Linked DNA regions of Arabidopsis thaliana. The protein of the gene in region 2 purifies or fractionates together with the protein of the main gene of each other region. This does not show direct contact. Each region holds a gene or a part of one and is shown on either strand. Other genes may lie near its edges.

Evidence for each region.
Region 1: the proteins of ZAR1 (region 2) and AT5G11410 purify together in Arabidopsis thaliana (affinity purification with western blotting, with the first as the bait; one study listed by BioGRID). This does not show direct contact.

Annotation. Positions count from the first base shown.
Region 1 is NC_003076.8:3,638,170-3,642,096, forward strand, and holds AT5G11410 (Protein kinase superfamily protein), read right to left. Parts: upstream 1,797-3,927; 5' UTR 1,715-1,796; coding exon 1,636-1,714; intron 1,554-1,635; coding exon 1,327-1,553; exon of another isoform or gene 1,255-1,326; coding exon of another isoform or gene 1,219-1,254; coding exon 1,083-1,218; intron 1,000-1,082; coding exon 863-999; intron 781-862; coding exon 663-780; intron 576-662; coding exon 262-575; 3' UTR 22-261; downstream 1-21. Other genes in the region: AT5G11412 (RNA-binding (RRM/RBD/RNP motifs) family protein), read right to left, coding at 2,180-2,707. UniProt on the Arabidopsis thaliana protein: Together with SZE1 and ZED1, required for effector-triggered immunity (e.g. Pseudomonas syringae type III effector HopZ1a) via the activation of ZAR1, thus being essential for resistance against P. syringae pv. tomato DC3000 expressing HopZ1a.
Region 2 is NC_003074.8:18,933,844-18,937,770, reverse strand, and holds the start of ZAR1 (HOPZ-ACTIVATED RESISTANCE 1), read right to left. Parts: upstream 2,098-3,927; 5' UTR 1,884-2,097; exon of another isoform or gene 1,656-1,883; 5' UTR 1,645-1,655; coding exon 1-1,644. Other genes in the region: AT3G50940 (P-loop containing nucleoside triphosphate hydrolases superfamily protein), read right to left, coding at 2,243-2,611, 2,699-3,685.

The DNA.
Region 1 (3,927 bases), on a different chromosome or scaffold from region 2:
AAAAAATAGGTTTAGACTGGCCTCAGAATTCAACCCTTTGAAATTTTCAATTTCTCATTCAGGCAAAACAAAGCAAAAGACATAGAAGGCAAGTTTGGGTATGTCTGTATCCATATAAGGCAAGTTTGTGGAAATTTTTCTAGGACTCATTTATAGAATGAAAGAAAAGAGTTGATGCGACATAGAAGGAGATTTTATCTTCTTTGTTTCAAACTTTTATTCCAAACTTGTTCAGCTTCAAATCTCATTAACTCTTACACATTAATCTTTAATCTCTGCAATATCATTCAAACCATCAAAGACTTGTTGCATCGATGGTCGTTTCCTTGTGTCCAACTTGATGCATCTTTTGATGAGTTTTCCCATTTGTGTCGCTGCATTCACAGGATAATCGTTCCCAAGTCGAGGATCGATGATTTCCCGGATTTTAGATTGATCAGACAAGAAAGGTTTAGTCCATACATGTAAGCTTTGCATGTTCTCATTCTTTTTACCATCTGAAGCTTTCAAACCAGTTAAAATCTCTAACAATATCACACCAAATGTATACACATCACTCTTCGTTCCCAAATGACCTAAGAACATTACACAACTGTCTTAAACATCGAACCACGAAAGATTAATTAGAGTGTTCGTTAACAAAACTTAAGATTTTGGTGTACCTGAGATTACATATTCAGGAGGTATATATACAGTTCTTCCTATGAATGCAGTCGTCACGCTTTCTTCTAACAAACATAGTTTCTTTGATCCAAGATAGAACAATTTTGTGTTGTAGTGCTGATGAAATTTATAAGTTCAGGCATTATTGTAAGGTTATAAACAATAAGAACAGCAAGAAGAGTGTTCTAAAGTCATTTACCTCGTCAAGCAAAATGTTATACATTCTGAGTTCTCGATATAGCGCGCTGTTCTTGACCCAATGTAGAAATGCAATACTTTGAGCTGCTCCTATGGCTATCTTGACCCGTGTTTCCCACGGTAATGCTTCTTCTTCTTCTGTTGAGAAAACATGAAACTGTAAGGCAATATTGAGTATACTGATTTTATAAATGGACCCATTGATTAGAAGAGATCTTAACTTCCGAAAATGTAACGGTTCAAACTTCCTTTATGCAAGTATTCGAAAACTAAGAATGATTTGTTTTCTTCACAACAATAGCCTAAAAGTTTGACTAAATTGGGATGAGAAATACGTCCAAGAGACTTCACTTCTTCCTGCAACTCAATAGTTTTTGTACCCATCAGATGCATAAGTAACTAAACAAAACATACATAAATAAGATCAAAGAGATAGAAATAGTAGTTGCGTAAGATTTTGGTTACCTTCCAGTCTTGTAGAGTCTGCGAATTATCTTGATAACATTCCATGACAGAAACAGTGATTCCAGTTCTTGATGGAGCAAAGGTTGTCTCATTGATGCAGCCTTCGTAGAATGTTCGAGTAAACCCATTATCATTACCTTTTATGACCATGTATTTTCTGAATCTCTTTGTTGCCTTGTTCAATTCGGCAAATCTAAACTCTTTCAAATTCTCCTTTACTGGCTCCACTTTTTACATTTATAAGACGTATTAAGATATTATTATATATGTAAACAAAAGTAGAAAGTGCATTTGAAAACGGAGATGTACCTGAACTTGAAGGGATGGTGAGAGGCTTGGGAGAAGCTGAAGGAGGTTGTTCTTTGAGAGGCTTTAGACAGTTTCCCATTGTTGATCATAAAGATGATAAATCTGTAGATTTTGATTTTTATATTTTAATAGATCTTGTAGGTTTTTTTATGAGGTTGAAAATGATTTAAGTGTGAAAGAAGCTTCAAAAAAGGTTGGGCTGTCTCAGAATTCAACACTTTAAAAAGTCAAGTTCACATTCAAAAGCCAAAAGAATCCACAGTATTTACTATTTACTATGCCAATGTCTATATAAATGCTTATAAGGCAAAATTTAGAAACATTCTAGAATAAACAGGGCTTGAAAAATTAGATTCTTGTTCTCTGTTTGGAACAGAAGAGATGCAATGTATATAAGAAAGTAAACATAATTAGATTAGAATCATGCAGACTAAACAGCCTGAAATCAGAAAATAGAACAACAAGTAGTGTCTCAGACAACAGCGAAAGAGATGGCTCATAAGTCAAAAGCCAGGTTGGTTCAAGTAGTAAGGACCAGGTTGGTTCACGTAGTAAGGGCCATGGGGTGTCCAATAACCATAAGGTGTGTAGGTATGATATTGGGGTGGTGGAAACTGGTCCCAGTTGGGTACATAGGTAGTACTTGTTGTTGTTGGGCGTTTTGGTTATTGTTAACCCTACCACCAATATAAGCAAGATTGCACTTGGCCTCTCGTCCGTCTATGACCGGTTTTGGATTCTGGCAAGCTCTCGTTGCAGATTCAGCATCTCTAAACGTGACAAAACCATAACCCTCTGATCGTCCCGTTTCTCTATCGCAAACCATATTAACATGTATAATATCTCCAAATTGTTCGAAGTAACTTCTCAAACCTTCGTTTCTTGTTTCCCAAGGCAGACCTCCCACGTATATCTTAGTGTATCTAGTGTCAACGTTTTCGTTCGCGTAATGTTGAGCCACGTCTCTGTCACAAGTATCAAAAAAAATTAGTGACAAGAAAGTTCCAACAATTAGAAATACATTTAGAAAATCCAACAATCGGAGAAAAGTACTAGATATGAAAATCTTCATTATGCATACATACTTTGTCCAATAAAAAATAGGAATTAGATACTAGAAAATTGGAAATTAAATAGAGAATTTAGGGGATGTATTGAAAGTGGAATTTTAAGAGATTTGTGTAGAATTTATAAATCCTATATTATAATGATTTTAAAAAGTTTCATGAAATTCAGTGTTATTGAACTAATGATTTCAAAATCCATAATTTGTGGATTTGAATTTTAATGATTTTGGAAGATTTGAGAGGATTTCCTTAGTTAAAAATACAGAAATCTAAATCTCATAGTTTAAGGTGAAATTTGAATGGATTTTACAAAAATATATGAACTTCTCTAAAATCATCAAAATCATTAAAAAAAACTCAAGAAAACACAAATCAGAGACATAAAGATAATAAGTAAGAGAGGATTCCACGTATTAGAAAGAGATGAAGATAATAAGTAAGAGAGAATAGATATGTTTTTAATGCACGAGAAACAATTTCATTACCATATATCTGCAGAGTGCGTATATGTGAAGTGAGAAACAAAATCACAATAAATATATATGCTCAGTCGCTCAGGAACAGAGAGACAAAAAGAAACAACCGAAGAACAAAGAGGAAAATTTACCCTTATCTCTAATATATCATGTGTCAGGGTTTAGGGAAATTATAGAAAAGAGTTAAGCTCACTTTTCCTTTTATAGGTTAGTTGATGAAAAATTTGATGGACCCAAAATGAAATCCAAGCCCAAGCCCATACCCAAAGTCTTTTTATTTCACTCAAACTGCTATAAAACGAGTCTCTTTTGTATCTATCAATTTCAATTTCTCCGCACACAATCAATTTTTCACATTAGCTATAAAAAGCATTAAATCAGATGATTTAAGAAGTCATCTCTAATTACTCCTTAAGCTTACATCATTTAAACACAAACACGAAAATTATAATTTACATATTATAATGGCCTATTAATTATAGTAATTTTGAAATTTATGAGATCAAAGTGGAGAAGTGTATCTAGAAAAGGATAGGCATGGAGGGAAAGAGAGTGAAGGCATTCCCATGTGAGTCACATTCACACGAGGGTCCTAAAAATATTGATGAGCTTATCTTCCTTGTCTTCTATTAATGCTTTTTAAGTTCCCAGCTAATATTGTTAGTAGTTTGATAGTGATATACCACATGTAAATATATATATTTTTTTGAAATATATGAGAGATTGAGAGTTCTTGAAGATACTTCATG
Region 2 (3,927 bases):
GTTGAGCTTGTTCACTTCACCTGTCTTAGTTGTTGACACTACGCCTCTCAGCTTATGGTTAACTTTGATCTGCTTCTCATCAAAGTTTCCACTAATCCCAAGGTGACGACAGTTGAGGCCTTCCGGGTTAGAGAACGAATCCTTCTTGGCTATATCGATCACCAAATCACGAACCATGTCATGAATCTTGCAAGTGATGATGGTTCCGCTATAGGTTTTGTCTACAACTTCTATTAGACACCTGTTTGTGAGCCCGGAAAAGCAGTCTTCTCCAGATTCAGTTGCAGATCTTCCGTTTCTCCACATGACAAAACCTTCTCCGATCCATCCATGTACTAGTTGTTGTTTTGGTATAACACAGTCTTCTGGATAGAGCGAAAGCGTGAGAATGCACGACTTAAGGTGGGAAGGGAGTTCATCGTAGCTCAACTGCAGAGAAGACATAACATTGTCAGTTTCAGAAGTGTTTCCTCTTAGCTCATCCTGAAAATGCTCTGCAATTCGTCTCCATTCATGATAGACATGGTCTTTGCACAGAAGTAACCCACCAACCGCTTTGATTGTCAAAGGCAAACCTTTGCATTTCGTTACAATCTCCTTGCCAACATCCTCTAGCTCGGGACGCTCACAAGTACCGTCATTTGCTGCAAATGCCACATTACAAAACAGCAGCCAACTGTTATCAGGACTAAGGAGCTCTGGACGGTGAGTCTTGTCGTCTCTCGCTTGCACCCTTTTCGCTACAGATTCCGACCTTGTGGTCACGATAACGCTACCTCCTTGTCCTCTAGGCAGTCCTTGGTAGATCTTGTCCCACCAGCTCAAATTCTTGTCCCATACATCGTCCATAACTATCAAGTACCTTTTCCCCAAAAGATACTGCTGGATTTTTCTCAGCAATGTTCCAATATCATCTCCAACACTCGCGTCCCCCAAGTTCCTCAATATGCTTCTCATGATCTGTTCTTCAGTAAAAGTCTGGGACACAGACACCCATATCCTTCTTTCGAAACGATGTTCGATCTCTTTGTCATTGAACACTTCTTGAGCGATTGTAGTTTTACCTAGCCCTCCCATCCCAACAAAGGCCATTATCAAAAGCTGGCTGTCGTTTGATCGAAAGAGCCACTCCTTGATTTTTCTTTTATCTCCTTCCAAACCAACCACCTGAGTATGATCATACACCGGAGAGCTCCACCGATCAGTTCCATTATCTCTTCCAACATTACTCGGCGTTATGAATTCGAAATAAGGCTCTACTTGACTCTTTATTTTCGTTATCCTCTCATTGATCTCTTGCAAACGTTTGCTTTTCTTGTACTGCAACGGAACCCGGGCAGGATGAAGCCGCGAAAGCCACGCATTTGATGACCTTTGCTCGTTCCCATCATCACCATCCGCGAGCTGACAATCCACAAGTATATCCTCAGCTTCGTAAACCAGTTCTCGTAAATCCGCAACAAGAGTACGCAACGTTTCATTAGTTCTCTTCTGCCTCTCTGCATCCTTGAGAAAAGACTGCATATATTTCAATTCGCTTTGCAAATCTTCCAACTGTTTTCGGTAGTCCGATACGGTTCGGCCTTTTTCTTCGAGGATGTTCAAGGTTTTCTCTAAAAACACTGTTACAACAGCGTCCACCATTTACTCAGACCCTGCAACTTCAAGAAATATCTCTAATTGGTAAACTATAACCAAGCAATAATTCAATCGGTTATGTGTATCATCACTAGATTGAACTTTCCAAAAATCAATCAACCAACGACTATAGAATCTCAATAACCAAAAGATTGGATTATTCTTTAACTAATCCATATCTTCTCAAGAAACATGTAGAATCCTAGAACATTGAAACAAATCTAACCAAAGTAAAGTAAACTTACAAGGTTGTGACTTAGCCTTAGCCGAGAAGGATCTGAAGCTTCAGATCTTTGGATTTTTTTAGCAAAACTTGTTTCAGAAAAATGAGCTTACATAGAGACTTTATCGAAATTGAAGTCAATGGTTTAACAAGTCAAGAGTCAACCTTACTCGTTTTCTTGGTTACTGCTGCCGACTACGAAACTTGTCTCAATCTACTTTAGAATCTTATCATTGAGTTTAGACATGTTCTGACCTCATAAAACAATATCCGCATTTCACTTAGGAAAAAAAAAAATGATTTCACTTTCTGTAACATTTTATAACCAATAATTGCATGATAGTGTTTAACAAAGAAACAAATAAAAGAACTAAATTTCTTCTAAGCTTTTGAATTATCTATTTGCTTCTTGGCTTTTAAGAACTCAACAAGTCCTTGGAGTACTTTATCCACAGAGTCACTCCTCATCAGTTGTTCAGCTACTTCTGCTGGTGTAACTTCAATTTCTCGGATAAATTCTTCAATCTGCTCGAAAAGTATATGATCTTGAATCTCGAGATAATTCGAAGCCAAAACCTTAAAAGCAGCTGGTGTGCAATACGACATGTGAATGTGCATGTCCATACGTCCTGGCCTCAACAATGCTGGATCCAATTTTTCTCTGTAGTTAGTCGTAAACACTATAATCCGCTCGTTACCACAACTTGACCATAGTCCGTCTACAAAATTCAATAGACCAGAGAGTGTGACCTGAAAATGACTAACCAAAACATTAGTAATGCTAATAAGCAAAAGATCACATAACAACATAACTGATAGTGAATCAAAATGCATCACCGTTTTATGTAACGGATCGTTGTTTTCTTGATCAGTAGACCGATCTTTTAACTCGATTGAACAATCTATATCTTCCACAACTAGAATGGAACGATTTGCAGTAGACATAAGTAACCTCCGTAGCTCAGCATTGTTGTTAAGTGATGTCAAGTCTAAGTCATAGATATCGAAGTTAAGATGATTAGCTATAGCTGCGATCAAGCTTGATTTTCCAGTACCGGGAGGACCATACAACAAATAACCTCTCTTCCAAGCTTTTCCAACTCTCCCGTAAAAGCCTTTCCGCTGCACGAATCGATCAAGATCCTCCACCAAGTTTTTCTTCACCTCGGGATCCAGAGCGAGAGTGCGAAACGTGGAAGGATGATCTAGAGTCACAGAGGTCCACTCCACGGAGTAAGAATCAACGGTGAAGATCTTCAATGTTTTAAACTTTTGTTTAATAGAAGCAGCTTGTTCCACAACAAACGGTAAATAAGATTCAAGAACCATGTTCTTGAACTTCTTTCGGAAACTAAGCTCGTAACTACGCACTTCTGATTTCAAAGTGGAGTTGAGATCTCTCGGGTTACGAAAATCCTTTTTATCGACATGGCGACATACAAGGATCCAACTAAGCTTGACGCCATCAAAAATATCAACAACTTCCTCATCACGTTCAACAGTAACACTATAATTGCTCTGTTTCTCAAGTTTGTTAACTTTGATTCTTCTAGTGGAATTAGATATCTTGGTGGAGAGATAAGCCTCTGCAGCTTCAAACACTTGGTTGTGTTCAAAACCTCCAAATTCTTCTATTACAGCTGTCATCTGATAAGAGAAGTAGCTGAAGAATCTGCGAAAGCCGTGAGAGATATATTCATGAACCTCGTTTGGCATGTAATCTTGAACCACTGATCGAGCTAGTATTGCGGCTGCAGCAACTGATGCAACCGCTGTGAGAGCTGTTTTGGCGGTGGCTAGATGAGATTCACTAGAGGAACTCATCTCCTTCAATCATCAAAAATAAAATAAATACATTCAAGTCGGTTCTCATAAATCAAAGAGACAAGAAACTAATCCAAAAAAAAATCTGATTATAGAACAATAGTACTGTATTTGTTACTAGGTTACGTGGGGATAAATCTGATTAGGTTAAACAAACGATGCTATTCTTTTGATAATTTTACGATGAGCACACAAATTGGAATCTTAACAAGTAAAAAAAAAAAAATGTTAAGGTTAAGGAG